Alligator mississippiensis: one gene and its partners. The protein of the gene in region 1 purifies or fractionates together with the protein of each later gene. This does not show direct contact. Links are inferred from orthologs where the notes say so. Each region holds a gene or a part of one and is shown in the gene's direction. Other genes may lie near its edges. The genes, in order: ACTR2, CORO1C and CHURC1.

Evidence for each region.
Region 2: the proteins of ACTR2 (region 1) and CORO1C fractionate together in Homo sapiens (co-fractionation; 3 studies listed by BioGRID and IntAct, with this or other methods). This does not show direct contact. The link is inferred for Alligator mississippiensis from reciprocal best matches to the Homo sapiens genes ACTR2 and CORO1C.
Region 3: the proteins of ACTR2 (region 1) and CHURC1 purify together in Homo sapiens (affinity purification with mass spectrometry; 4 studies listed by BioGRID and IntAct, with this or other methods). This does not show direct contact. The link is inferred for Alligator mississippiensis from reciprocal best matches to the Homo sapiens genes ACTR2 and CHURC1.

What each region holds. Positions count from the first base shown.
Region 1 is NC_081824.1:214,970,861-214,981,084, forward strand, and holds the start of ACTR2 (actin-related protein 2), read left to right. Parts: upstream 1-6,207; 5' UTR 6,208-6,222; coding exon 6,223-6,303; intron 6,304-10,224. Other genes in the region: N(4)-(Beta-N-acetylglucosaminyl)-L-asparaginase, read right to left, coding at 1-24, 1,782-1,920, 3,717-3,828. UniProt on the Homo sapiens protein: ATP-binding component of the Arp2/3 complex, a multiprotein complex that mediates actin polymerization upon stimulation by nucleation-promoting factor (NPF).
Region 2 is NC_081833.1:4,730,308-4,740,567, reverse strand, and holds the start of CORO1C (coronin-1C), read left to right. Parts: upstream 1-4,988; 5' UTR 4,989-5,074; coding exon 5,075-5,078; intron 5,079-9,164; coding exon 9,165-9,364; intron 9,365-10,260. UniProt on the Homo sapiens protein: Plays a role in directed cell migration by regulating the activation and subcellular location of RAC1. Increases the presence of activated RAC1 at the leading edge of migrating cells.
Region 3 is NC_081825.1:171,525,058-171,535,296, forward strand, and holds the start of CHURC1 (protein Churchill), read left to right. Parts: upstream 1-6,051; 5' UTR 6,052-6,121; coding exon 6,122-6,160; intron 6,161-10,239. UniProt on the Homo sapiens protein: Transcriptional activator that mediates FGF signaling during neural development. Plays a role in the regulation of cell movement.

The sequences.
Region 1 (10,224 bases):
GCTACAGCTAGTGGTGTTCCAACTCTTTTGCAAAAGGGAAGATTTACACTTTTATTGAATTTTTATGTACTGATTATTTTTTCTCAACTCAGTGTAACAACAAAAACAAGTGCCAAAAATACAGGAAGTTAAAACCAACAAGAAACCAATTAGATTCCAAGCACAGGGAGAGCATAATTTGTTAGTAAATATCTTTTTACTGGAACTTTTTTAAAACCTTAAAGCAGTCTGAACAGGATATACTCAACCTAGACAGTCCAAATTAGTGCTGTACTGTGTTTCCCCTAAATTTTCCTGTTTATAAGTTTTTCTTTGACAGACTTATCTGCTCTAGATCCTTTGACCATAAAAGAGCTGTCAGTTCCTTTCATATCATTTAGAGTTCAACTAAGCCACCTATTAGTAGGATTCCGCAAAAAATACATTGTTTCTTTAACAGGGCTCGTGGATTTTTATGCAGTTACTTGGTTAAAATTGAGGACCCATTATTCTCTACTGATGGTGTAGCAGTGGAAACACTACTAAGCATAGAGAAAGCTCAGACCCTTTTTATTCTGGGTTGTCTAAACCTATTCTGCATCTTTATCACTGTAGCAATTCCTGACACTCCTTACTACTTGAATCATTTTTAACAACAGAGCTGCACTCATTATAAGTTACACATCCCTATTTTCCTATTACAGATGTGTTCATTCTTTTTCTTCTCATATTTTAAATACACTTGTGAATGTGAAGTCAGGCTCCAGCTGAATTAAACTGGTAAAAAAAACCCAACTTTAAAATGTCATTCAGTTCAGAACACATTCCTTCCTGCATTATACCTGTCCTATAACGAAACATAAGAATCCCATAAGACCACTCAATAACCATCAGCAGTAGTTAGCACCAAATATAGCAATGGATTTTAATTGCTATGCTGTACTATACACCCGAGGTCCTCCTTAACAGACCTATTTCCATTACAGAACTTGCATCCTGTTGATGTCTAATCTTACTTGCTGTGTCAGATTAACAAAATTAATTGGTTACTGGTGTATTACATGCCAGGTTTCAACATTACCGTCTTTACACAAAAATGTTTTCAATTACTCTGTTATGAATTAGAGCATGGCTTTCTTCCTTAGTAGCCCAATTACTGGAAAAACTGTCATTTACGAAAGTCATGGGGGCAATGTTACTAAGATGGACAAAAGATCATTTGCATATTTAAAATGACCTAGTTAATATACAGCACTTGTATTAGTTAATGCATTAGTGTTTTACATTAAGCACATGAGGTTGGAAATCTAGCTTACCTCAGTTGGACCATACTTTGCCATTATAAAACAATCATTGAAAATTACTGGAAGCTTGCATGAAAATTAGTTGCAGGATATGACCCAATGGAAAATAAACGTGTGTAGCACTTTCATCCCCTTACCTCAAGCATTTTACAAATGTGGGATAAGTCTTTGTTTGTGGGATAAGTTTGTAGACAAAGAAATTGCCAGGTCAAATGACTCATCCAAGGTTGTGTATGTTAGTCAACTGCAGACCAGGCAATAGAGCCCAACTCTTGTGCCTATCAAACCAGTGTCCTATCTACAGGACCACAGTGTAAAACAAGTCAGATGATTTCAGTTTAGTTAATATTTCAGGCTTGATAGGAGGCTTCCACTGCAATTGCTTATTGTGCTTTATCCAGCAATGCAAATCCCTCACTTTTATGGACATGAAACCTTTCCACATACTTATAAAAATCTATGCATGTTGCCGCAGGTAGATTAAAGCACATTACGTACCCAGACAGAGCCGCTACTGCTCCAAAATGACAAGAATGCCCTTCCATTACAGCAGCATCACACTGGATTAATCCATCTTTGTTTGGGTAGCCTCCTCGTCCTACTACATAACTCCCTGTCTCCTCATCATTTTCAATAGCTGGAGATAAGTAAAGTTTAAAAATAGTTAAGCGTTAGACCCAAGTTTCCATTTTTTAAAAATCCGAGTGCTTCCCAAAATCCCATTAAGAAATTGAACAGTACAGAAGGGTCAAAACGAACACTATTTATGGGGGACTGACATACGCATATGAAAGAGTGACCTACATCCCCCAGGCTGTACCCCATGTCTACAGATAGGCACCCCACATCCTGTTACAATGGGGAAGCGGGCACCCCCACCCCATTATGCAGTGCCGTGCCTCACCGACAACTCCCTGTGGACTTTTTGGAGGCACTTTGTCACAACAGGGCTCTGGGCTGCTAGCTCCCCTGACACCACAGGTTGTGGGGGAAGGTTAAGCTGGACTGTATCATGTCCTTTGTCCCCCCTGGGGGTAGGTCAGGCAGTGGAAACTGGGGGAGGGGAAGCCCCAAGATCCCATCTGATATAACAGGGGCAGCAACGACCTAGTGGAAGTCTGGGGTAGCACCATACCTAGACTCATTGTGGCCCCGGGCAAACTCTTCATCAGCGATAACAACAACAACAACAGGAAAACGGGGAAAAATTACCATTTTGGGCCCCATATCTGTCCAAGCCCCGGGCAGCTGCCCAGTTCACCCATGCCTGTGTCTGGCCCTGGTCTGCGGGCTGCTTGTGAACCCTTCCCAAACCATGTGCAGCCCATGGACTGCCAGCTGGACAGCCCTGCCATAAACAAAGGAATTGTGCTCAAGTGCCTTTGGCTACATTGAAGTAAAAGACATTTGTTCTAACATTAGGTAGCACCAGCGATACAGGAATTATCCAAAAAGCCGAACAGCATTTCTGTAGCCTCATTTCAGTTGATGGGAAATTTGGATACACAAGCAAAGCAGTTGAAAAGCAAAGCAGTTCTGGGCCAAAAAGACAGGAAACTCGATAAGAGCTCTGTCTGTCTGTTTCTTTAAAGAAATAAACACCTGTTTACTCAGAAGGGGACAGAAACTGGCAAGGGAAGGGGACTGATGGGGGCTCCAGTCAGCCTGGAAAAGTAACAACTGCCCCAAAACAGTACAGGGTACTTGACCATGTATTTTTTTAACTCCATGAGGGCAGACACTTGAAGTCCTGCCACTTTTATACACAATGTGCCTTAAGTTTGTGTTGATGGATGCAAGGTCACGAGACAAACAAACTATGCTGGGATGCACGCAGAGCAGGGGCTCTCACCCTTCCCAGACTCAGGGCAACATTCAGAAAATGCCAGCTCTTCATTTTCACTCATGTTTCCACAGCCGCTGAGCTGAAGCCTTTGGAGAGCCCCCAGCAGGACACAACAGATTTAAAACCGCTGGCTTGAAAACTCAGGGTTTCTCTTAGGAATCAGGGGCAGATCCAAAGGGGGGGTGGGGGGGGGTGTATTAGTGCATCTGTGCCCCCCACTTTTGACCCCTGCTCCACTCCAAGCTTAAAACCATGCACTTAGCAGCAGCATTTCTAGCCAGGTAAAGCTGAGGGAGCCACTTGACTTCCCGGAGCCGCTCCCCTCCAAGCGCTTCACTCTCGGGTCGTTAACGTCTGTCCGCGCCCGTGGAGCGCTCCCACGTCCCGCCCGTGCGGCGCGCCCGGCCCCTCCCGCTGCGCCTGCGCCTCCTTCCTTCCCAGGAGCGGGCGGCGTCCAGTGGGGCTTTCCTCCGACCCCGCGCGGCCCATCCCCACAAGTCCAGCTCCCATTGCTTTTTAAAGGGGAAAAAACCAAACAACAACCAGGTGTTAACCCCTCAGCGCTGCTGCACGGGGTCTCCCCTCACCTGCCATGGCTTCCTGCACGCAGTCCGTGGCGTCCGCGCCTCGCAACAGCAACTCCCGCATCTTGCGCAGGGCGGGCAGTGAGAAGGCCCAAGTGCCCGCGGCCGCCGCCATGGCAACGCCTCGTGGAGTGGGGGGAGGGGGCGAACATGCCGACCGGCAAAAAAAAAAAAAAAAGGTGGGAGAGAGGGGGAAAACCGACGGGCAGAGCGCTGATTGGCTGGCGGCGGCCTGTCAGTCACGGCGCGCCAAGGGCGGAGCTAGAAGCGGTGGCTTCCGGTGTGTGCGAGGCCGGCGGTTGAGTGGGGCGATTGGCCGGGCGCGGACATGGACACGCTGGGCAGGAAGGTGGTGGTCTGTGACAACGGCACCGGGGTGAGTGGCGGGGCCCGGCCCGGCTCGGCTCTCGTGGTAGCGCGGCCTGCTTCCTGCCGGGGCTCCGGCTCCCGTCCCCGCCCAGGGCTACCCCACCCCCGCCGCTGTATCGCGGCGCCTTGAGGCCCCAGCCCCGCTGCCCCACCCCCGCTCCGTGGTTACCCCGCCGTGGCGGCACTGCTTCCCCCCCCCCGGGCTGTAACGCAAGGCGGGGCTCCTCGGGGCCGGGCAGGCGGGAGTGGGGCGGGGCGCACGGGCGTGGAGGGCGGTGTTCCTTCCCCGCCACTTCCGCGCCCGCCTGCGGCCGGCGGCGGGGACAAAGAGGGGGCGAGGGTCGGGCCTGCGAGCGGGGTCGTTGGGTGGTGGGAAAGGATCCGGCCGTTTTGGGATCCTGCGGCCTGATGGGTCCACAGAAGATGACTGTACTCAATTAAATGTACGTGAATACCCACACTTACAATTCGGAGGGGTCCACACATCCATTCTAAATTGTTATGGGGTCCGCAAATGAACAAAAGGTTGAAAACCACTGGTTTAGCACCTCTGCAGTTATTGGATGATGGTATTGTAGCCTTGCTAGGTCCCTTCTCCTTCTTGGGAACATTTAGAGAACTAAAGAAACTGACATTACCAAGGGAGGAAGAACTTTTGCATCAGGCAATTGGGGAAGTAATTTTTATTCAGACTTTCTTTTTTTTTTTTTTTAAAGTACTCCTTCCCCTTAAATATATAATGCTGAAAGCTAAGGAGCACATGAGACACAGTGCATCTTTGCTGCTGTTTCAACACTGCTATTTTAAGACTTGACAACTCTCAATAAATAGCCAAGTTCCCTAAGAAAGTGCTTAAGGAAAAGAAATAATTTTCTATTTAATAGTGATAGGGCATGGAATCTTTAGGTCATCTTTATTTATTATAAAGAAAAAAGTAGTTTGCTGTTTTAGAATAATTATTACTAATATTTTTTCTGAGCTATGTAAGGCAGTGATGCTCAGTCTTTTGGTCCAATGGATCAAATGAGTGGTGTAGGGCTTGGTCATGGTCCCCTGCACCAGGATTGGGCCCTACAGTACCTCTGCCCAGCCCACACACCTGGATTGGGTCATATACAGACTTGCATGGCCCCTGTGTCATCCCTGCCTGACCACATACATTAGGATTGGGCCCCACGCTGCTGTATATGCCTAAATCAGCATGCAGGGCTCCTCATGGAAAATTTGGCCACTACTTTGTTGCCACCAAATTTTTGGACCCACAGGGGGTCCTGCAGGCTGGCTAACATGGCACCAGGGTTTAAATGTGGCCCATAGGCCAGGGATTGAATGCTCCTGAAGCAAGCAACAGCACCATTATTAGAATTTTAAAATTGCCTAATGAACCCAAGGATTTGACCATATAAACAAGAACTATTTTCAAATTATAGTACAGGTTTCCCTCACCAACCACGGTTTGATTATCCATGCTTTAGAGAAGCTGGGGGATGCAGTTGGAAAATACCCCCCATGCCCCTGGCCCTGCTTGTGACTCTCACTCCCCCCCCAACCCTACACCCCCCCCCTCCCCCCCCCCGGCCAGCCTTGCTGGTGCTCCTCACCCCCCACCCACAGCCCCTGTTCCCCCAGCCCTGCCAGTTTTGCCAACCACAGAAACTTTCAGGAACCTAACCCCCATGGTTGGAGAGGGAAACCTGTATAGCTATAGATCATACTTTAAATTATAGTATTTTCAACTTAAGTTTTATATATACTTATTGCAGACCTTTTGTTCATCTAATGTTAAATGCAGCCTCAGTCAGATTGCAATCTTTTTTTTGTTTTTGTTTTACAAAGAGCATCATAAGTGTATTCTCATGACACGTGATATAGGAAGAACTTTGAGAAATTCCATAGAAGCATTTTAAAATCTAGAACATTTAAGCTGCATGTTCTGTGCTTTTCTAGGGCAAATGGCAAATTACTGTAGGCTTGGAATTTTGTCCTAATTATATTTAGAATTCTTTTGTCTGAGTTGCATAACAGTATTTTACCAGGGAGACATAAGATTGTTCAGTATGAAACTTGTCATTAAAACAGGTTTGTGAGCAGATGTAGATGGTGTTCTTATTTTTGTTTAAAAGGAATATCTTTAGCCTGCATGTTCTTACCACTTGATGACTCAGTAGGAAGTGAGAGAAGTCATTTCAACCACAATGCTATGAAGAGGAAACTATATATGGTAAAATAATCTCTTACACACGGTATCTTGCACAGATCAAGCAAACTAAGAAGCTGTTCTTAATACGCTCTCTTGGATTATAAGGTGCAACCTTTACAACTTGCAAAGATGTGGGGGGGATTTCAGTGTCAAGTTCTTCACTATGTAAAGACGGATGCAGTCACGTATTTAAATGTTAAGAATCTGTTGCACCATGCTGAATTCAGATGACTGGTACCTCAAGGAGTACATACATGATGATGTGGTGCATCAGGATTTGTGCCATTGTTAAGGTTTTATGAGAGAGTTCCAGTTTCACAAGAGTGGTGAATACTGGGTATTTAAGCATTAGTAAAATCAAAATTGATTATAATTCTTGATCAGGTTACCTTAAGGGGGGGAGGGGTGTGCCCTCTATTATATAACGTGATGCTCTTGGAGAGATAATAATCTTTGGGGAAACTAAGTGCCTGCCATCTTTTCTTGGGCATATTTGACTTTTTTTCCTCCTCCTTTGTAGTCTTTTTATCAAGAAATCTAAAATGCCCTGGGATCTGTCCTTTTGTCACGTTCTTGCTGTTTGCATTTTGTGCATCAGTTATTGGTTGCTGGTGTGACACAACTTCTCAGCTGGAAATCGCAAACATGTACCAGTCTGAACCACTTGAATCTTACTTGATGATACAAAGTGATAATGGAATTTATATTATTTCGTTTCAAGGGCAGCTGAAAAATGAGGCTGACTTTGGTCATTTATCCCATTCACTAAAGTTCCCTGCCCACTATGAACCTGGGGACAGGGAGCTTCCTAATCTGGGTAAGAGGAGACCAGAAGTTAAAGCATTCTCTCTTCTGTATACCCTTCTAGTTCCTGTGGCACCTGGTAAAAAATTATCAGTGGTAACTGTGGTAAAAATTATCAATGCTGTCAGCCAACACTAACTTAAAAAAAGAGGTGGAAGTAATCAGTTTCTGAACATTCTCATCTTCCCATTTTCTCAAAACGTTAACAGAACACTTAAGATCACTTCCCAGAACAGTGCCTAAAATGGTATATCTCAGTCCTACCATTACACCATCCTGTCTTTCAGAATATCTAAATCATTTTGATGTTCTCTTCTCTCTAACCACTGTATGCCACAGATCCAGGGAGTGAATCCAGAGGTCTCTGATTGCCTTTCTTTTGCTTACTCGACAGTAGCCATTCAGTTTGCTGGGAAGAGGCATGTCAGGTTGTTCTGTAGTGGCTGATATAGGAAAAAGCCAGCAGATATTGTAAAGGTTGTTCACACTGAAGTTTGAAAAGTGCAAACTAATATACAAGTTATTCTGGTGTATGTGGTTCATATTTAACTGTTGGCCTGTCGCTTCGGATTCAGCCGATTCAGGGGACAGTGATTTGAATCACTGCCCAAATCACCTGAATCAAATTGGCATCTGAATCAAACAGCTGCTGCCGCCGCTCCCCCCCCCCCTCCCCGGCTCTCCCAGCCCTGTCAATGGCTGCCCTGCCTGGCCCCAGCCTCCCAGCTCTTCAAAAAAAAAAAAAAAAAAGCCCAGGGCACTCACCAGCTGTTGCCAGGCAGGGGGTTGATCCCTGCTGCTCCCCACTGCCCGATGATGGGTGGGGGGCTCTGTCATGAGCCCCCATCCCCTACCCACTCTCCCAGCCCCAGCATCCTAGCTCATCCTGGCTCTTAAAAAGCCCCCACTCGCTGGCTGCTGCCAGGCAGGGGGGCAATCCCTGCTGCCCCGTACTGTGTGGGAGGCTCTGCCATGAGCCCCAGTCCCCTCCCATGGCTGCCATGCCCACCCCAGTGTCAGGTCATTAAAAAACAAACAAACAGGGGGGTGGTCCCCAATGCCCCACGCTGCGTGGGGGCTCTGCCACAAACCCCCAGAAGCCCCAATGGCCACTGCAATAGCTGATAAGTGCAGGACATTTTCTTTAAAGAACCAGGAGCTGGGGCCAGGTGGGGCAGCCTTGGGGGAGGTCAAAGGGGGGCTGGGGGAGCAGGCAGGGGATGGGTCCCCATGCCACCTCTCTCCGCTTATCGTCTAGCTCCCTGTGGCAGTGAGCGGGGACTGCCTAAATCTCCAAAGCTCTCTGAATCTTTTCTGAATCGATTCAGACCTTTTTTTTGGTCTCCTGATTCAATTAGGAGATTCAGCTGATGAATCAGGCCAAGTCTCCGAATCAAATTGGCACCTGAAGCTTCTCATGGCCATAAAAACTGTTACATTTTTCTGTTTATGTATTGGTATAAATGGAGCTGAACAACTGCAACTTAAAATTTGTTTTCTCTCTAGCTCAAATGAAGGAGGCTTAAAGTTATAGTGGTTTATCTTCGCTTATGCTGATATAAGAATGGACAGATATAAGTTAAATCAGAACAGCTGATGAACAGTCCAAAGTGTCAGTTAATCTCTCCCGTTTCAAGTGGTATTTGTCTACAGCCCTTTGAAATGTCATTAGATTCAAACGCTGGTTACTGCTGCATGTGATGGCCTAACTCCTCAACCAGTGCGCCAGAAAAGGGTATTTACCTTCTCAGTCCTCAAGGCATGTGAAACGCTGGCAGCTCAGATTGAGAGAGTCGCACTTAACACAAGCTGTAAAAACCATTCTGCTTTTTAAAGCATCCTGCGATAATGCATCTCAAGTTTCAGGTGTGCAGGTTATATTGTGAGGGAAGGAAAAAAGCAATAGACGCATCTGTGGATATAATGCTGCTGTTTTTGGTTTTGGCTGTATGCATCCAATTTCACAGATGTCCATGAGAAGCTATGAAATGTGTTGGGCAGTGAATGATACCTGCTCCTTCACGGAATTTCTCTCCAGCTGACTTAATTGCATTAAACCAGGAGAGTGGTACTTTTTAAACAGGGATAAAATATTTTATATGTTTACTTTTCTGGGGCATGCCAGCTGTATAAAAAGCTATGAACCCAGTGAACAAAGCTAGTGACAGTTCAGATTGGTGCAGGACCTTTAGAAGCATAGAGATAAGGGGAAAACATCATTTAAAAAAAATTAAGTTTTATGCTGCCCACGACATCATTGACACTAGACTCAGATGCTCCCTAAGGCTTTTTGCTTCATCTGTAACGGTAATGTTACCCCATTTTCATCAAGCCTACGCTGTTGCAAAACCTGGTATGTTGAGGCAGAATAATATTCTGTAACTTCACAAGTGCATAGGAAATGCGACAGTCCTGCTAATCTGTTGCTGTCTGTTGGATTGCAAGTTTTTTGGAGGGACTGTCTCTTTGGGGCATCCATAGGATCTTGGTCTATGATCAGGGGTCCTAAGCAATATAGTAATATTGTTTAACCAAAAGCAATATTGTGAGATTGCTGAGGTTTTGTGTATGGTACGAGTTTGGAGTAATAGACTTGTAAGGAGCTATTCCTCATTAATCAGTGCGCCCTGAGAGCACTTCAGGCTTTCTTAAATACCCTTTCTTAAGTGTAAAAACACACAAACAGATAGGTTTTGTGACTCTATCCAGTTCAGACCTAAAATAACTAGCGCCCCTTCCTTGCTGTCAGCAGGCACCACTTTCTTTTAGATGTAGATCAAATTTGAATAATTTCTAGATATTTGTGGTCTCAACACAAGCAGAAGGGATCACAAGAACTTGTCTTTCTAATTTATTTTATATTCCTGGAAAGCCTTCTCCTACTTGGAAATTAGTTTTGCCTTTTGCAGAGGAGACAAAAATATTAAGTAAAGCTCTTTCGTTCCTCAAACGTCAAAATGGGTCTATTGTTGGAGCTGACAAAATAAAAAAAAATAAGTGAAGCAAAAGAAAAGCGAGAGCAATCACAGGCAAAAAAAATACTTCCCCCTCTTGCTTTCCCATGGCAGGCCGTGGAATGAAAATTAGACTTGTTCACTAAAATGTTAGTGTTTACTTTGCCTAATAACCAACTCTGTG
Region 2 (10,260 bases), on another chromosome or scaffold:
GTGGTGGTGTAATCTCCCGCTGAGCTGCAACGAGGAAATGGGTACCCGCTTCCGGTTGCATATTTTGGCCATTTTGAATGCAAGGTTAAGGATTTTGCAGAATGATCTTTGCCTTCCAGCTCCAAGCTCTGTCCGTGTCCTCCAGCCCGCCGTATTTAATGGCTTTCTGTGCATTCATCGCTATGGCAGTAGGCAAATGACACAGATTGAATGCGGCCGGACAATGCTGTCTTTTCTGGGTAATGATCTTAAATAGCCCTCGATAGAAATGGCCTGCCGAGGGCCAGTGTTATGTCAGCAAGGTGTAGGCTCTGTAATGCCGCTAAGCACAGGCTCTCCCAAGGAAATTAATTGCACAGCCAGAAACCCTCCAGCAGAAACGCCCAGCGTGCGGTAGCAAAGGCCTGTTCGCAGCAGTGCTCAAGAGCTCTGCTTCAGTGCAGCATACCTCGAGCGGTCTCTAAGGAAACCACCCAGGCCCTGCTACCATACGTATGAGAATTAAGCAATACTGTGCGGCGCTTTCTGCATCCGCAGCTCCCCAGATGCCTATGGGAGCAGGGAGCAGAGTGGTACTAAGCAGATTAAACCCAACGCTGGGTGGATGGGTGGGATTCCTCTATCCTGGAGCGCGCCTGCCTTTCTAACCCAGCTGTGGGTATCTCATGGAAAAAGTGAAGTCTTTGAAACACAGGATTGGGTGTTGGGTTGTTCCCCCTTTATTCCTGCTTCTGCTTTTCCTGCGCGAGCTTGGACAGACCACAGAACTGCCAGCCTTTGCCCCGTCTGCAAGACGGGAGCAGCCGAGTCCAGTGAGGTTTAATGCTGCTTGCAAAGCACTTCGCACGGCTTTAGCTCCTTCCAGCCGAGGAGCTGGGAGCGTGCGCTCTGGATGTCCCGGGTGCTGAGCAGCCAAACGGCTTGGGAAGGGCTGTCCCAAAGCAGGCCCACCCTCCGTTTGCTGCTGGAAGGCAGTGCTAGCTACCTTTTTTCCCCCTCCTCTCATGTTCAAGGGGAAAGCTCATATTGAAGAAACACCAGGCAGCTCAAGCCTTGATAAAACCCACTGCCACTTAAAGGATGCAGCGGTGGGAAGGTGCATTCCTCTTCCGGACCCTTAGTGAGGGTGCAGTGCTGCTCCGTCTCTCTGACTGGCTTTCAGCGCAGGGATTGATAGTTCTTGTTAAGGGTCTAATGTTCCCCATCTATCTTCTGATGCAGGCCTCATCTTGCTTTGAGATCAATGACTGGCCTTAGCCTCCTGCAGGCAGCGAGCTGGCTGCTTTGGGATGGATTGTGCAATGTCTGCTCAGCTACAGGAGGTCTGTCCCTGCCTCTGCTCCAGTTACGCCAGCCTCGTCTGCCCCTCTGCGCCTCCCCAAACTGACCCACGAAGCTGTTGGCATCCTTTACACCCCTGTTAAGGCCCACTGCTGCCAGAACGCCTCCAGGAAGTCCTCGCTGCTAAATAGCTGGGCAGAAGGGTGACTGGGCATCACATTAAAGTCAGTGTTTCTGTGATTAAAAACTCCAGTGCGTGTGTATGGATGTATGCACATAGGCACAGAAGTGTGCACATGTCTATATTGTGCCGCGCACCAAAGAAGACTTAATGTGGTTGCAATGTCAAGCCCCAAAGCTGGGAACATGCCAGCATTAAGGTTGGTGCAGCAACCTTTTGTCAGCCCCCTGGCACGATACGACCATGCTTGTTCATCCCCCCAGACTCCCGTCTTGCTCAGTGCTCAGGCTGGATTGCACTGGCTGTAACCCCTGGGTGCAGTTCTTGTGCCTGATTGTACAGGGGCAGGTCAGCCTAGATGATTGCAGCAGTTTTTCTTGCCTTAAACCCTAAACATTTCCCTTATCCTCAGTGCTCAGCATGTGGCTTTAGGCTGTGTTTGCTGCTTACTGGTCCAACTCCACGCTGAAGACAGCATTATTCATTTCCTCGTGAGTTTTGCTACGGTGCGCGTTGCTGTAGGATCTGAGAGCATCCCAGATATCGCTGGATTCATCTGCCCGGCATCCCTGTCCGACAAAGGCGTTAGTGCTCGTGTTTCGCACTGAAGCACAGCGTGCTTAATTTTTGGTGCACGCTTGGTCTTAGCACTTTGCAAGAACTTTGCTAGGCTTTCCCTGAACTCAGCTGCAGCTCAGCACTTCTGCTTGTTAGACCTCAGAAAAAAGAGGAACACCCCGAGAGCAGCCTGCTTGCGTAAAGCCTGAGCGAAGGGACTTACCCTCCAGCATCACGATCTTGTGGCAGCGGATGGGGTAGAGTCCCATTGTACAAGGCTCTGAGGCCGTTTCCCTCTTTTCCACCTCTTGTGTCACTCTCTAGCTACTTCCCAACCCCTGTAACAAATGAGATGAGGCGACAGACTCTTTATTACCCGCGCTTCTATTCATCTGCTCTGAATGAGGCAAGGGTGCTGTAGAAAAAGTAGCACAGGATCATACAACTGGAGATTGCCCAGAAGGCAGGCTCTGGAGGGGGCTGCCTGGATCCTGGCATCTTTTTTTCGGGGTGTCGAGCTCTTGGCTTCTGCCAATTTTACCGAAGGAAATTGCACACACGAGAACCCCCCCGGGTCCTGGGATGCGATGTCAGCGTGATGTCCCCATGGCTTAGCATCGAGGCTGGAACCTGCAGTCCTTTGCTAATTGAGCTGAGGGAGGAACTGACGGCAGTAGTAGGTTGTCACTCTTAGCATGGATTGATTGGGTGTCAGTGGGTATCGCTGGTATTCATTGGCAGTAGAGGACTGGTTAGAGTCAAGGAGCTTGAACTGCGTTTCCGGCTCCAGAGGATACAGCCTTCTCTCCACGTTTCTCTCCTCCACCCCCAAACTTTACCCTTTCTGCCCCCTCTCCTTCAAGTTATTGCTGACCCCAGACCCATCTCTTCCCCACTCCTCATCCCAGCCCATCAGGCAGACTCTCAACCCGGTCTCCATCCTGCCGCTTCTCTGTGCCCAGCCATTCCCAGTCTCCTTGTTGTCCCTTGCCCGCTCCCCTCGCTATCCCAACTCCTTGTCCGATGTAATCCCTGTCCCAGCGGCCCCGGTCGCCCCTTGCCTACCTTTCCCATTTCCAGTCTAACCCCCCACTCCTCGGGTCCAACTCAGCATCCTCATTTGCCCTTTGCACCCTGACTCTTCATCAGCTCTGCCTCCTCTCCCCCACTGGTCCTCCAGCCCTTGTTTCCCGCACTTGATGGAGACACCCAGCGTGGGAAACTTCATCCCAAACCACTGAGAATCGCCCAGGTATAAGCAGGACCACAGGATCTTATTGCTTGAAGTGTTGGGTAGCCTCAATAGCAGACGGTGCTTGACACTATATCTGATGGTCTCGCTGCGTCCTAGTTTTCACACATTTCTTGTCATCTTCCGTGGTAAGGAAGGACCGGGTCTAACTTGGCAAAGATCTGGCGCTGGAGGTTTCATCCAAAAAACATTTCGCTGAAGGAGGGGAGGAAAAACCCCAAACCACACCTTCTCTCCTTCTCATCGGCAGTACCAGCCTTGTGCAAGAGTTCCTGCAACACTGCTCTTCTCTCCCATTGGCTTTTGAAGGCATTTTCTTTTTTCTTTCCCGGCCTCTGGCTTGCCTCAGTGTTTTAAATTGGCCATTTGTTTGGTGCGCCTTTCTCTCCAAAGGGCCCGCGTCCACATGGGCTGAGCAGGATTTTGCCGTTAGTGGGGGGTTTTCCTGTCCGTGTTCCCCTCACAGGATGCGTTTCCTTTTGCAGAAAGCCGGCTGAAAACCCTCCAAGCTGCAGGCATACATCTGTTGGGCTCTTTAGACAGATAAGTCCTTCATGAACAGGAAAAGGGGCAAACCCAGGGACACACTGATGGAGAACGGGCTTCATTTTGGAGCACGAGGGGTCTATGTGACCCCTGCACGCGGCCGTGAAAACGGCTTTGGGGGCGTTAGCTTTAAAAAGCTGAAGGCTGTCCATCCTGATGTGCATTGCAAGATGCTCTATATTATAAAGTGGTACTTTTTTGCATTGAATTTTCAAGCAAAATTAACCCGCCCCCCAAACCCCGCAGCATTTAACCCTCTTTAATTGTACTTTCTCGAGGCAGATATCCCCATGTGAAGGAGCACACCTCGATCTCCCCTTCCTGCTCCTTTGATCGCAGGCGCAGCGCTGCTAACGAGTTCCCTCCGGCGAAGACCTCCGTGGCTCTCGGGCAGCACGTTACAGCATCTTTCCTCCAGCGAGAGCGTTGCCCGACTGTTGGAGCCGCTTCTGGCCCAACGGAGAAACAAAGGGCATCTTCACGATGCTCTCTTTCTTGCTCTCGTCCGTTAAGGAATTCGCCAAATTAGTCATTCACCAGGGGTCCCCCGTCATTAGCTTGAATTAGCCAGGTCCCGCTCCATTTTGCATATATGATAAAGGGCTGAATCGGGCTATTCAGGCACCAGCCCCGGAGGTGCGGAAAAGGATCCCTTTGGCCAGAGATTGTAACTTGAGGCTTTTTCTTTTCCCGGTCGTCCTGTCTTTCTGCAGCCGAAATCACCCTGGTCAGAGAACCAGGGGCGCTCAGACTGCAGCTGTCATTTTTCTTTTCCGCTCGCAGGGGGAAGGGAAGCTTTGCTGCTGTGGGGTATGGAGAAACGAATTGCCCGCTCAGTCTTCCCGGGCTTGCAGCAGGGTGGAGAGCTCTTTCTGGGATCAAGCTTAACCCTCTCTTTTTTTTTAATTTTTCACCTGTTCACTTTCTCTGGTGCACCCAAGGAGCCACAGCAGCTGCTTTTCCCTGCCTGGAGCCTGCACGCCTTCTCCTCCTCTTTGGAAAGCAGCCAGATCAAAATGGCTGTGAACCAAAGCCAAGAATCACTCCCTTTGCTATGGAAATGAGGGCTCCGCGAGACTGTTCAGCGTGTGTTCATCATAGACGGTTCCTGTTGAGAACGATGCATTTTGGGTGAAGTGGGGGGAGGGAAGGGAAGGGGAGGCGGGCACTATGGCAAAGGTGTGCGTTTGAGCCGAACGCTCCTGAACGAAGAGATTGGATCCAGCAGCCTGGAGTCCTTTTGCACTGGTGAAACGATGGGTAATTTTTTAAAACCCCTTCCTTGTGATAAAAAGGAGGGAAATTGGGTGGCATCCTTTCACCGTGGGGAGAAGGGAATTTCTTAGCGGGTGGGAGAAGAGCAGGGGGGCATCAGGCCAGCGTGCTGGAGAACGGAGGCTTTTTGGGAGCGAGCAGGTGGAGAGAAGCAGGGTTGCTGCCGGAGCTGTGATGATAACGTCTCCATTTCCAGGCTCCGAGCAGACACGTTGCAGAACTGCACGCGCAGCATGTGGAGCCGGGGCTGTCCAGGGTTGGGACCGCCTGAGCACAGGCTAAAAACTGGCTTTACCTTGGCTAAAGCCTTTGATTGACGCTTTGGCACGCAGCGAGGTTGAAGGGGGCAGGGAGCGGGGCAATTATGGGCTTGCAAAGTCCTTGTGAAAAGGTATCGCCTTGCACCGCCGACCCGCTCGCCCGTCTCGCCCCGTACGTGAGCCACTCCTGACTCATTCCTGCAGAGATCCCGGGAGGTGTGTCGCCAGGTAGGCAGGAGCCGTGCCAAGCATGGGTGTTTGCTGTTCTGCCTGGATATTGCAACCCGCGGCGCCTTCGGAGCACACCCTTCCCCGACTTCGCCCAGCGTGTGGATTAGCTTCGTTCTTGGGCACGTTGTTTGTTAGCGGCCTGGCTAGCTGGGAAACGATTTGGCAATGGAGAGGAGGAGGCTTCATCAGCCTTAGAGCAGCCGGTTAGAAAGAATCCCAGGGGCAGGATACGGCTCTGTATTATAGCATTGCCAGGTCGTCTTCTTTGCGATGTGTTTTACCTGAAGCTCAAGCCTCTTTGTTGCCCTTGCTCAGGTGAGACAGGTGTGTTTTCTGTCCTTTGCATATGGGATGGAGAGGCTAAGTAACTTGCCAGAGGTCACTCTGCCGGTCGGTGGCAAAGCTGGGATTGCAGCTGGGGTCTCCCGAAGCAGCCACATGCTCGAAGCATTCAGCATGCGCCTCTGAATCGCGGCAATTGAATTTTGCAGGGCATTTCTCCCAAGGGGAAGAGCAACATCCTGGTGCACTTCCACCTGGAGTTATTACCGTATTTACCCGAATCTAAGATGACTTCAAATTTAAGACGACCCCTGTCCCTCCCCGCCCAATAATTACATTCTAGACCTGCAAAATTATTATGATGTTTCATGTCTCAAATCTAATTATTGCAGGGTCATCTTAAATAAGTAGTTGAGTAGTTGTGGTATTTCACCCGAGAGTTGAGTCTAGCCACCTACCAGGTAGAAGCGACTGTGTACGTGCATGTGCGATTATATATTTATAAAAATAAAACTTGAACTGCTCCTTTGGGGCTGCTCCGCAGAGCTTAGCTCGACCACTTACACTGCTGCAATAAACTGCGAGCATGAGAAATTATCAGCGTTTGTGGGGGACTTGAGGCTTTCCTGTTAATATGCTAATCTGGGCGGAAGAGAAGTTGCTGCTCCCGGCCTTGTGATGGTGTAATGTCAAATGTGTGTCGGTTTTTTTATTTTGCAATAGCTTCCTCTTTGCTCTAAATTATGTGCAGTAACAAATGTTTTGTGCATTCATTTTCAGCCGGAGTAGTTCCAGTTAGTAATTTTTAGTTTGTAAATCCCAAGATGCTAATTCTTAGCTTTTTCTCATAGCACTTTTCAGCCCTACGTTTCCAGTTGCCCGCAAAATTTAGCGTTCGGACTTACAGCTGTTTTCTTTTAAGCTACAGGAGTTCTTAATAAAGCGCCATTTGTGGCACTTCTGTAGCTTAAAAGCAGCTAACTCATTTGGAGAAATGTAGCAGGCCCCTGCCAGAAACGGTCCGTCTCTAATCCTCTGTGTGCATAGGTAAGGCCCTTTGTGTTGCCTTAAATAATCACTTAGGATTTCTGGCTGAGTAGTAGAGACTCGAGAATAGGCAAACTGCAGCGGAGGCGGTAGGTGGGTTGTGCTCGGACAGAGAAAAGACCCTGGGAAGCCGAGCTGTCAGTGTGCCAGGTCATCCCTCGTGTCCTTTCGGGGAGAGGGAAAGCCAAACTATTTGGGCAGCAACACGATGATCTTGGTGGAAGCTGAAATCACAGTAATGAGAATTTTTTTTTTTTTTTAAAAGCAACTGTCTAGACCGGATGGCTGAAAAGACTTGGACTGAAATAGAGAGCCGTTTACCTCCAGGTCACTGGCGTGAACTCGGTTCGGGTCATCAGTGGCTGGAAGTCATTACCATCCGACAGCTGCTTGGCCTGCGCGGAAGCAGTTGGTGGTCTGCTCTGCTCCGAGATGGACAGATGTCCACCTTGCAGACATCGCCAGCCTCGTTGGCACGTTTCTTATCAGGCTTTGCATAGAAACCCGGGAGCGACTGGGCCCCTCTGATATAGCAGCCTGGGGGAAACTGGGGCTGCTGCCTTCCTGACTTCGAGCGTTGCTCTCCAGGGCTCTGTCCTGCAGCTTTTATACCAACATTACGGGCTCCTTTGAACATCACGTTATGGTCCGTATCCTCTGCAGATTTTAAAACCAGGGGCAAGCTGGCCCCGGGTCTGCTATGCTCGTAGTCTTTAGTGCTTCGGCATTCAACAGAAACACTAAGGGTGTTGGAATTGTGCAGGAAAGAAATGCACTGTAGAGAATATTTCCTGTTTTCCATGGAAATTGGAGGCGTCTCATTATATAATTGACTGACTGGTAAAGCTGCAAGACACTTAGCAGACTTTTTTTTTCCTTCCTTTTTTCCAATGGTATATCTACTGCATGACTGCTTGGCCAGTTCTGATGGGAGCTTTCTTCCAGACACGTGACTCTTTAACTATTTAGTGCACAGATGTGACAAAGTAGGTCGTTTTTAAACCTACCTGGAGGTGTGTTTGCATGCAGGTGTACGATAGCGAGTCTTGCATCTTTTCTGATTGCAGAGAGGTTGTGTGCACACGTATGTTGGCACACACTAAACCTGTATGGGGTGTGCAAAGCGTTTCAGACCTTCACTTCCCTTTCGAAAGGTGAATTTCCTTGTCCTTTTTGCTGAGTTAGGAACATATGGGCTGGCAAACTTATGGCCGGACCCTTAATTTCTGTTGTTGCGGAGATGGGGCACTTCAGACACTACGTGGAGGCCCTGCCTTCCCTATGACGGCATAAACTGTGATAGAGAAAATGTACAATGCGGGAAATCCTTTGCTGTTTTCAGTGAAGGGTCCAGAAGCTGCAGATGCGGAGAAATAAGACAGTCGCCCTTTTCCCTTGAGAGCCGACTGTTCTTGGAAACTTTGCCTTCCCAGTGCGGGGTGGGGAGCTGGATTTTTCCGCGTCCCTCTGAAGTCGACTGACACGGGACCCGGGTCCCGCTGAAAAAGTATTTTCTCAAGAGGAGGAGCAATGCAGATGCACTCAGAGACAGTTTGAGCCAGTAGCTTGTTTCCATTACTCCTCCCTGCTTAGGAAGCTAATTTTATTATTTTTAATGAGATTTTGGAGGCCGACTAAAGAACGGGAAGTTAGCTAGCATGCAGAACCACTTCACAGGAACACCGCTTTCTCAGAGCTCGCAGTTGAGCAACAGCTCCTGGACCCTGTCTGACTTAAAAGCTGAATAAGTTCAATCTAAAAACCAGGCAGTTTCCCCCATTCCTTTACCCTCCGCAAGCCGTTTTCAAACGTGGGCATTTTTTCCTTGGAAGGGCATGCTGAGCTGGGTGCTGCCCTTGCGGTACTAAGATGGACATGATGGCGATGGGTGGAGGGGGGAGAAGGTTGTCTGCAGAAAATAAGTCTTGCGGCTTTTGATGTGGACCGTGGTATGGCTTGAAAGCATTCGGTAGTGCTGGACACAAGACTGCGTGGATTTGAAGCCTTATATAGAGCTTTAAATCCATCTGCAGTTAGCCCGGTTTGAAGTATAAGCGGGTAGAGCATGAACATATGTAAGGAGAGGAGAGATAAGCGAGAGCCGCTGCATCTCCTGCAGCGTGTGGAGCTAGGCTGGTGTTCGTGGGTGGAAGCAAGGATAGCCAGAGGGATGGCTGGTAGAAAGAAAAGACCAGTCCACGTGCACCCCGCAGGCCTAGTCCTTCTGACCTTCTTGCTCTTTCCCCCGCAGACACCATGAGGCGAGTGGTACGACAGAGCAAATTTCGGCACGTGTTTGGCCAAGCCGTGAAAAATGACCAGTGTTACGACGACATCCGGGTTTCCCGCGTCACCTGGGATAGCTCTTTCTGTGCGGTCAACCCCAAGTTCGTGGCGATCATCGTCGAAGCCAGTGGCGGCGGAGCCTTCCTGGTGCTGCCCCTGCACAAGGTAAGTGCGGTGGGAAGGGCCCGGCTGGGGTCATCTCAGCCTCGTTTATGGACGGGACGGGGCTAGAGAAACCCCTGCTGCTTCACAGCTGGGTTTGAGTGGCAAATGCTAGGTGGAGTCGAGCATGCCTCTGGAGTCGCTCCAATGCTGCCTTTAAATAGAACGCGGTACGAGAAGGGCTCGTTTCGCTAATTTGGACCAGCTCTGCATGGAAAAAACTCCTAATTAGAATGGTGTGCTCCCTGTTCGCAACAGCAACGGTCCGTCTTTTTGCATCAGGAGGCTTTAGCTTTCTGAGCCATCCCCTGGTACCCTGCCGGCCCTGAGTGCTTTGTCCCGTTCAGACTGCCTGCATCTGACTAGCTCCGGTGGGGTGGCAAGGATGAGAATTGATACCGAGGGAGTGGAGGCCGTAGGATTGCCGGAGGCCCCATTACTACTGCCGGCAGGAGAGTTTCAGCCTCCAGTCTGGCCCTTGAGGTGAGATGGTTTAGTCGGGGATGCTCCTACCCTGAGCAGCGGGTTGGTCTGTGGGCACCGTCTCACCGGTGCAGGTACAGCACCAAAATAACGTGCGTGAGCAGACGGGTCCTGCAACCCTTTTGCAACTCTCCTGCTTTTCCCTTGGAGCGTGTGAGAGTGCCTGCGCAGGCTCTCTTGCTGCCCCTCAACCAGGGCCTGTCTGTTCTCCATGCCTGGCATGCGGTAGGTGAGGCTGTCCTACCCATCTCTGATGGGGAGGCATGCTTTGAAATCCTCAGCCAGGCACGAGGCAGCGGTATCGTAATAACTGCCTGCATAGACAGTCCACTTGTTCCTGTCTTAGGCCTTGCATTCGTCTTATTTATATAACCCCATAAAGTCATACAGCCCCTTTCTAGAGAAAGGCTTAGTCT
Region 3 (10,239 bases), on another chromosome or scaffold:
CAGCACAGGGCTAAGCCTCCAGCTCCAGGTGGGCCCCACAGGAGGGGCTGCGTGTGCTCCGCCAGGCTCCACAGGGCCCCCCCAAAGCGCAGGGCCTAGGGCAGTTGCCCCAATTCACTCTACCAAGGGACAGCTCTGCCTGGACCCCTTGCCTGTCCCTACAACTGGGTAACCCACCAAGTTGTGGGGGCTGGGGCTTTAAGGCACCCCATCCTCGCCTTTCACTAGGGAGGCAACTGGCATGGCATTTCCTGGGGACCACTCTACCACGGGTGAACCCACCACACCATCCCACTCTAGCAGGGTGTAGTTTTGGGTCATTCCCCAGGACCAGGAACCTCCTGCCATCCCCATAGCTCCTGCCCTTACCTCCAAGATGTTGTGAGCAGCAGCTCCAACCTAGCAATGTTCCACCTATGGCTGCAGCCAGCAAACTGCTGCCTCAGTCCTGAGGGCCTGGGTTTAAAATGGAGGCTGCTCAGCCCCCTCCTCCTATCCCAGGACCTTCCTGTGGCCATATGACCTGCTCATTACCCTAGCTTACACCTGCCAGCTGCCCTGCAGGCACCCAAAGGTGCTCTGCCACAACTAAGAACACTAGCTCCATCCTCTTTGGAACCACCCTTCAGGTACTTGAAGGCTGCTATCAAATCCCTTCTCAGTCTTCTCTTCTCTAGACTAAATATGCCCAGTTCCCTCAGCCTCTCCTCAGAAGTCCCCAGCCCCCTAAATATTTTTGCTGCCCTCCACTAGACTCTCTCCAATTTGTCCACATCCTTTCTGTAGTGGGGGGGGACCAAAACTGGACACAGGACTCCAGATGTGACCTCACTAGTGCTGAATAGAGGGAATAATCACTTCCCTTGATCTGTTGGCAACACTCCTACTAATGCAGCCCAGTCTGCTGTTAGCTTTCTTGACAACAAGGGCACTGTTAGCTCATATTCAGCCTATTGTCCACTGTAACCCCCAGGTCCTTTTCTGCAGTGCTCCTGCCCAGCCAGTTCATCCCCAGCCTGTACTCGTGCATGGGATTGAACAAGGACTTTCCACTTGTCCTTGTTGAACCTCATGAGATTTCCTTTGATCTAACCCTCCAATTTGTCTAGGTCACTCTGAATCCTAGCCCTATCCTCCAGCATATCTACTACTCCCTCCAGCTTGGTGTCATCTGCAAACTTGCTGAGGATGCACTCCATCACATCTTCAAGGTCACCGATGAAGATATTTCATAGATTTCGTAGATATTAGGGCTGGAAGGGACCTTGGAAGATCATCGAGTCCAGCCCCCCGCCCAAAGGGCAGGAAGTCAGCTGGGGTCATAGGATCCCAGCAAGATAAGCATCCAGTTTCATCTTGAAGGTGTTCAATGAAGGTGCTTGAACAACCTCTAGTGGCAGGCTGTTCCAGACCTTGGGGGCTCGGACAGTAAAGAAATTCTTCCTTATGTCCAGCCTGAAACGATCTTGTAGTAGTTTGTGACCATTCGACCTCGTCATCCCTTGGGGCGCTCTGGTGAACAAACGTTCCCCCAGATACTGGTGGTCACCCCTGATAAACTTGTAGGTGGCCATCAGATCACCCCTGAGCCTGCGCTTTTCCAGGCTAAAGAGCCCCAGGGCTCTCAGCCTGTCATTGTAGGGTCTGCTTCCCTGACCTCTGATCATGTGCGTGGCTCTTCTCTGGACTCTCTCAAGCTTCTCCACATCCTTTTTGAATTGTGGAGCCCAAAACTGGACGCAGTACTCCAGCTGCGGCCTCACTAAGGCCGAGTACAGGGGGAGAATGATGTCCCGGGATTTGCTTGAGAAGCATCTATGGATGCAAGCCAGCGTTTTGGTCACTTTACTAGCCGCAGCATCGCATTGCAGGCTCATGTTCATCTTGTGGTCAATGATGACCCCCAAGTCTCTTTCTTCCATAGTGCTAGCTAACATAGCACTGCCGAGCCTATAAGGATGCTGCGGGTTTTTTTTCCCAAGGTGGAGAACCTTGCATTTATTGGCATTGAACACCATCAGATTCTTGTCCGCCCACTTGCTGAGCCTGTCCAGGTCAGCCTGGATCATCTGCCTGTCTTCTGGTGTGGATGCTTTGCCCCAAAGTTTGGTGTCATCTGTGAACTTGGCCAGTCCGCTTCTGACTCCAGTGTCCACATCATTAATGAAGATGTTGAACAGTATGGGTCCAAGGACAGAGCCCCGGGGGACCCCACTGGTCACAGGACACCATGATGAGTGACTTCCATCAATTACTACCCTCTGGGTCCGACCCCAGAGCCAATTTTCCAGCCAGTGGATCGTGGAGGACCCAAGGTGACAATTGGCCAGTTTCTCCAAGAGACGATCATGGGACACCAGATCGAAGGCTTTTTTGAAGTCAAGATATATGACATCAATCTCATCTCCCTTGTCCAGGTGATAGGTCACCTGGTCATAGAAGGAAATGAGATTGGTCAAGCAAGACCTACCCGCAACAAACCCATGCTGGCTATCCCTTAAGATGTTGGCGTTGGCCAGTCCATTAAGGATGGCCTCTTTAATAAACTTTTCTAAGATCTTCCCTGGGATAGAAGTCAGGCTGATGGGCCTATAGTTAGCCGGATCCACTTTCCTCCCTTTCTTGAAGATAGGCACCACATTGGCCTTCTTCCAGTCTTCGGGCACTACACCAGAGCGCCAAGAGTTTTCAAAGATCCGCGCTAGAGGCTAGGCTATGATGCTTGCCAGCTCCTTGAGTACCCTGGGGTGAAGATTGTCAGGGCCGGCTGACTTGAAGGTATCCAGCTTCTCAAGATGTTCCTTCACGAAGTCAGCATCAATGGAGGGCAGGGGATCACCCTCACCCGGACTTCCCGGCCCTGTAGCGGGCATGGGCGTCCCATGGGGCTGATGAAAGACCGACACAAAGTACCTATTTAATAGGTTGGCTTTTTCCTGGGCGTCAGTTGTCAGTTGCCCCATCTGGTTCAGCAGGGGTCCAACGTTGCCCCTGCTTTTCCTCTGGCTTCCCACATATCTGAAAAAGGACTTTTTATTGTCCTTGATGCTCAAAGCTAGCTGGAGTTCAGTTGCAGCCTTGGCTTTCCTGGTCAGCTCCCTACAGGACCGGACCAGTGCAGAATAATCCTCCTTGGAGGTGACTGCCATCCTCCATCCTTTGTAGGCCTTTCTTTTAAGCCTCAGGAGGTCTGCTAGGTCCCTGGAGAGCCAGGGGGGCTGCTGTGCCCTCTTGCTGCCTTTCCTCTGAGATGGAATAGACTTAGTTTGTGCATTAAGGATCGCTCCCTTGAGGAGCAACCACTCTTCTTGAACTCCCCTCTCCCTGTGGTCACAGTCCCTTAGGGCCTCACTGACAAGCCTCCTGAGCTTGTCAAAGTCGGCTTTCCTGAAGTCAAGGACTTCCGTGTTGCTGACTGACTTGCCAGCTTTTCAGCGGATGGTGAAGGTGATCAGCTCATGGTTGCTGTCACCCAGCTTCCCATCGATCACTAGGTTGCCGACTAGGTCATCCCCAGTAGCCAGCACCAGGTCGAGCAGCGCTTTGCCTCTCGTTGGCCCATAGACTTCTTGAGTCAGGTAGAGGTCATCCATGCACGAGAGGAAGCTCTGCAACCGCTCAGATTTTGCTGAGCGATCCTCCCACGAGATGTCCGGGTAATTGTAGTCACCCATGACAACCATGGTCCTGGAGCAAGCTGCCTCAGCCAGTTCCTGGGCAAACCCCTGGTCAAGCTCAGGACTTTGGGTGGGAGGTCTGTAATAGACTCCCACCATTGTGTCCCCTGTGCCGTGTTCCCCATGGATTTTAACCCAGAGGGTCTCCAGCCATCTACCCTGGTCGCCAATATCGGCTTGCAGGGACGCGTAGCTTTCCTTGACATAGAGAGCTACACCCCCGCCCCTTTTCTCTACACGATCCCTCCTGTACAGGGCATAGCCATCTATACCCGTGGTCCAGTCATGGGTGGAGTCCCACCAGGTCTCCATGATCCCTATGACATCGTAATTGTTTGCACTGAGCAGGAGGATGAGCTCCTCCTGCTTATTCCCCAAGCTCCTGGCATTAGTGTAGAGGCAGGCAAGTGCCCCCTGGGGGGCTCCTTCCTTGCCCACAGATTTTACCAGGGCTGGGGCTGGGGTGGGCTCCCTTGAGTGCCGTGATCCGCTGGCTTTGCAAGGATTGCTCAGCAGGCCAGCAGTGGCGGTAGCCCCCCCGTCCCCCAGCGGGCTTAGTTTGAAGCCCGGTGGAGCAGGTCAGCCAGTCTGGCTGAGAAGAGCCTCCTCCCTAGGGGAGAGAGGTGGAGACCATCTCTTCCCAGCAGCTCACTGCCTCTCTCGCCAAAGAGTGGGCTGTGGTCATGAAAGCCAAAGCCTTCCTGACGACACCAGCACCGCAGTCTTTGGTTGACCACATAGATCCTCCTGTCCCTTCTCAGCCCATAGCCTGAGACTGGGAGGATCAATGAGAACACCACCTGTGCCCCCAGACCCTTGAGCCCTGCTCCCAAATCCCTGTAGCGCCTCATGACCTGGCTGGGAGTGCTCAAATATTGAACAAAACCAGCATTAGGACTAACCCCTAGGGCCATGGGCAGCTGGTGCCTCCTAATACTGGGGTGGGGAGGGGAAGAGCACCATTGGCCAATTGCCAACCAGGATGGGAAGGGGGTCCCCCAGCAGCTGATGGCCACCACTGGCGAAAGTGCCGGCAGCAAAACCAGAAGTGTTGCTGGCACTTCTCTCAGGCGGAGCACAGCCAATCTCAGGGGGTGCGCGTGCACCTGCATGCACCCCCTATGCGTTGCCAATGCCTGGGGCACTCCACTTGATACCAACTGCCAAACAGACATTGAGCCATTGATTACCACCCTCTGAGCCCAGTGATCCAGCCTGTTTTCTATCCACCTTACAGTCCATTCATCCAGCCCATGCTTCCTTAGTTTGCCTGCGAACATGTTGTGGGAGACATCAAAAGCCTTCCTAAAATCAAGGTACACCACATCCACTGGTCTCCCGCATCCACAGAGCCAGTCACCTCATCATGGATGGCAATCAGGCTGGTCAGGCATCACTTGCCCTTGCTGAATCCATGCTGTTTTGCCTGGGATGATGTGTTAAATGGTTGTCACTCTCTGCTACTGCCCCTTCAGGGTCAACTTCATTTTCACTTAAACAAAGATTTTTGATGTTTTCAACTTGCATCCAAATCTGAGCGATCACTGTTATCCTCTGCTTGGCTAGGCATCTCATTGTTAGACCTAGACTGCTGTTCTACTGATGCTGAAATCCAATGTTTTAAATTGCTTACAAGTTTCTTATTTTCTTCTGCTCTGTTTTTTCCCAGCTTTTTTGTTTGCGCACCTGACTTTTTCTTGGGCCCCATGTCAAAAAGCAGAAATTACTCCCGGTCAGCAGTTAAAAATACAGTAAATTTGCTAGACAAGTTTCCTTGGGTGAATTTGATATCTTTTATTAGACCAACCCAAATAGTTGGAGAATAGTTATTAAGCAAGCTTTCGAGTTCAAAAACCCTTCGTAAATTTGCTGTACATTTTTAATGCGTTGTGTATCGCAGCAGTCTGACACTTGTTTCACAATATTAAAAAAAAGGGGAATTTGCTTACCTGTATTAAAATAGCCTGAAATGTTATAACTCCGATCAAACATGACACACAGTTATTTGGCAGGTAAGTATAATATTGTTTCACTGGCTTACACAACAATAACAGTAACTGGGAACTACGCACGTGTTGATGCAGTGCTGCAAACATTTAAATGGAAAAAAAAATTGCTACCTGACCGTTGAAACTGTTCTAATACCAATCTTGACGCTTTCCCCACGGGGAGCGGAGGAGAGCAGCAAAGCAGCCTGTGGTCGTGCCACTCTGGTGCCAGCCCAGCACCTGCAGCAGCCCCGGCGCTGGAGCCGCATCCCCTGTGCCGCCGCGTGTCCGCGCCCCCCCCGGCCACACCTGTCACACGGGACACCCCGCCCCAGCGCCCTCCCTCAGGGGGGCGGAGCACAGCGAGGCCAAACCCCGCCCCCAGGCCAGCCCTTCCCCTCGTGGCAGGGTTGGGGCGGCGACCGGAAGGGCGGCGGCGGCGGCGGCAGCAGCGCCATGTGTGGGGGCTGCGTGGGCACGGAGTACCCGGCCCGGGTAAGGGCGGGCCGTGGTGGGCGCTTGGGTCCCGCCTGGGCCTGGAGGCCGGGCGTTGGGCCTAGGGCGCCGTGCAGCTCGCGGGGCGGCTCGAGCGGCCTGTCCCCGCGCCTCCCCTCAGCCTGCCCGCGGGCATCTCCCTGCGTGCGCTGCCGGGTTTGGCGCAGGCTTGCGGCTAAGACTGCCTTGGATGCGGAGTGGAGGCAGGCCTCAGCCCGTGGGAAAATCTTTCCCTCCGCCCCCAGTCCGACTTGATGCGGCTGAGCAGCCGGCGTGAGCCTCTGCTTTGTGGGGCTGTGGATGGCGCAGATCCTGCTGGTGAGCCAGCCGCACTGCTGCCCAGCAGGTTCCCCCTCAGATCGGCCAAGCTGGCGTTGGAGGCCCTGTTGAGGATACCTAGACTTACTTGGGGGACTGAAGTGTCTCTGCTGACTCTTCAGGGCTGGAGCTGGGCTTCATGGCCTCTATGATGACCACAGGGCTGTCCAGGATAGTAACTGGGCTGACCCATGAGGCTCACCTTCAATCTAATGTTTTCCACCTGCTGAGATAGAGGAGCTCCAGTTACTGGGAGTGTCATTAAAAATCTTTCATGGTCAGATTATTACTTCCTAGAAGTGCAGATCTCTGCCCTCTGTTGCGCCTGTCAGGATGGTGGACTTGGCTAGCCCACCTCCTGAGACTCAAGGAACTAGTGGGTTTCCAGAGCTGGCTGTTCTGGTCTGTGGAATAACTCTGTGACCTTGGTCAGAGCTATAGGGGAACCCAGGCATCCATTCTTACTGTTGCAGTGGGACAAGTCCCCTCCAGTACACTGGGAAACAAGCAGCTTGAAAAGGAAGGTAGATGGCTAGAGCATAGGTGGCCCTCAGCTCATGCCAGAACTGACTGATTACTGTCCTTCTTAAAGAGCTATGGCAGGGCAGTGGCAAAGGCAAAGAATCTTTTCTTCTCCACTGCCATTGCATCTGCAAACTGTCATCCCTGGAATTGTTCTGGGTGGCGAATGACCTGATTAATCCAGCTCGTCTGCCAGGAAGCCATGTCTTCAGACTGCCTACTTTGGAGACAAAATTGCCTGTATCTGGCACAGCTTGGGGACCATCACTTTTGCTGCAGGATCAGTCTGAAGTTGAGGCAGCCCGGTCTTGTCCTGTTGATATGAATCATGTTGCTTTCGCGCACTATGTGCAGACTATGCTTTGGAGGATGAGGGTGACCAATTGTGAACTGGACCTATGCCCATCTTGGTTTGTAGAAACTAGCATGGAGAGACTAGTGAGGGTTGTCAGTGCCTCCTTTCAGGATGGCAGGGTGCTAGATGTTCTCACGTCTTCACTTGTCTGGTCCCTGCACAAGAATCTATCACTTGACACTGACTCTCCAGTCCAGCCAGTTATTGCCCTGTCTCTGACCTCCACTCTTTGGGGCAGGTCTTTGAATGGCATCCCTGGATGTATCTGGATGACATGAGATTCCTGAACACTCAAGAGTCTGGGTTTCATCTTGAGTAGTGTGGAGACTGACTTCATGGCCTTGGTTAATGATCTTGGCTTTTAGATTGACAGGGAAAATTGTACTTTTGATACAGTTGACCATGAGTTAGAGGGTTCTGGTAAAGGATTTACATGACCTACTGGGAATTTGCAGGATTACTCTAAATGGGTTCTGCTCTTCCCTAGCAGGGGAATCCCAGAGGGTGGTGATGGGCAAATGTATGTCATGCCCTGCAGAATCCTTCCCATGAGGTCCCTAGGGGGTCCATCTTGTCATACCCCTTGTTCCATGTGTATATGAGGCCACTGTGTGAGATGGTACAGAGATATTTGGAGTGAGGTATCATCCATATGCTGATGATACCCATTTGACCCAGGCCTTGCAACCTCAGTCCTTTTCTAGTGCCTGGCTGCAGTTGTACATTGGATATGGGTGAACCAAGTGAAACTGAATTCAGACAAGACAGAGGTGATGGTGGCTATTAGATTCAGAGATGTGGGTTTTCCAGAAAATTTTGAATTGGAATTTTTTCCAATGCCCCAAATAGAGTGTGATCTGATTTAGCATGTTTATTTGACTTACATTTAGTAAACAAAACTAAAAAAGTACCCCCATGTTAATTTTGTGTTCCAATAGCCACAAGTATATGAACTGAAATATTTGATTGGGAAAAAAATTAAATACAGCACACTTAATGTGGTTTAAATGCTATATTAAAACAAATTCAAAGCTTTATATGAAAACAATTATTTTATTAGAATACTTGTAAAAATGTAAAAACAATACACAATAGCCTGTACTTCCCCTACATTGTTTGTTTAAACTTAAGAAAAAAAATGAAAGCACGGAAAACTGTTGACACACTAATTTTAGCACATCCAAAGAACTGTGCATGATATGCTGTGGTTGCCCACTCATCTACTTCAACAGAGTTGAACTATCTTCCACTGAGGTCATTGAGGCACCTCCAGTTTCACTGTCACTATCTGTAGAATCACTTGCACTACTTACTAGTGCCGTTTCAGAATCAGATTGAGGCAGATCTGATTTAGAACCACTTGAACCACATTATCTTTCACTAAAGGATGGTGTTACCAATGAGTCTATGGGCAAGGGCAACTTATCATCACACTGAATCTTCTTCACTAATTGTGAAACAAGAGATTTTGAGAAATAGAAACAAGCTTAGCAGTGTGTTCATTTGCTAGTCTATTCTTCCTTTTGTCTTGATTGAGCTGAAAGCCTTCCAGTTCCATTCGCAGGAAGCTGCTGTTGGTGGAATGCTTAGGATCCTTAGAGCACTCCTGGACAACAGTCGGGTGTTACAGTATCCCTTCCATCATGGGAGGGGAAACATATTCTCTGCTGCCCGCCAAATGATGTCTTTGCTCCAAAGTTTTTCTTTTGTGCGGTCGGTACTTGGCAATGTCTGTCATCATGGCTATTTCGTCAATGTTGGGGACATTCTTAGCTACTTCCATAATTGTATTGAGAGCAGTAGATAATTCATCTTCTGATAAATGTGCTTGGTGTTGAGGATCCAAAAGGTTTGCTGCCAGATGAACTGGATGAGAGCAAAACGCAGATTTCTTAGTAAACATTTGTTTTACTCCTCCTCCTTTTTTGGATAGAGGTGAAGAAGGCAAAAGCTCAATTAGATTTTCATTCAGTTGTCTGAATATCTCTGGAATATTTGAAAGTCTTGGTGCATCTCCCTCAAGTTTCTTGATAGCCACTGAAACTGGAAGTAGCAAATTGAATGCTTCTTGAACTCGAACCTAGAACGCATCATTGGTGAGATTGCTTCCCTACGTTCACAGGAATAATCTGGGATACTGCGTCATCTCTTGAAGCACACTGCAAACAGTTCTTTGTGTGCAGCAAACTATGTAAACACTTTGTAGCCGAGCCCCATCTAGTTTCTCGTGGCAATAAAAATGCACTTTCCTTCCCCTGCTTCTCTTTCTGTAATTTCTTTACAGTCTTGATTAGCAATGTGATGATTGTTGAATACCTTCACAATCACTTTGTAGTTTGCCAATATTGTCTTCATTGTATTCACACTTACTATGTCCTTTGCCAGAAGATTCAGCCCATGAGCAAGACAGCCAAATACTAGTAAATGAGGATACTTTGCCTTTAATACTTGCCATGCAGCTTTCATGTTACTCGCATAGTCAGTTACAAGGGCTTGTACCCTGGAGGGACCTGCACTTCCAATCTCTTCACTCAGTAATTTGGCTATGTATTCACCTGTGAGATGAGAAGATTTGGTAGCAGTTGCTTTCAGGAATATTGGTTCAGGTGTTGCTAACAATGTTCAATAAAGGATTTCCTTGTATATCAGTTCATCCATCTGACATCAGTCAGTGATTCTGCTTGACCAATCCTTTGAATATAACCATTGTTTGAACTCTGTCATACTCTCTATCTAAGAGAGAATGTGGTAAGCAATAAGTGACAGTAATTTATATGATGGGTGAATTAGTTTGTAATGTTCCTTCCAGTCTTGATTTTCAGTTATGGAAAGAGGTGTACTTGAAATATAGCTCAAGCTAATGTCTCATCTGCTTTTTCTTGAT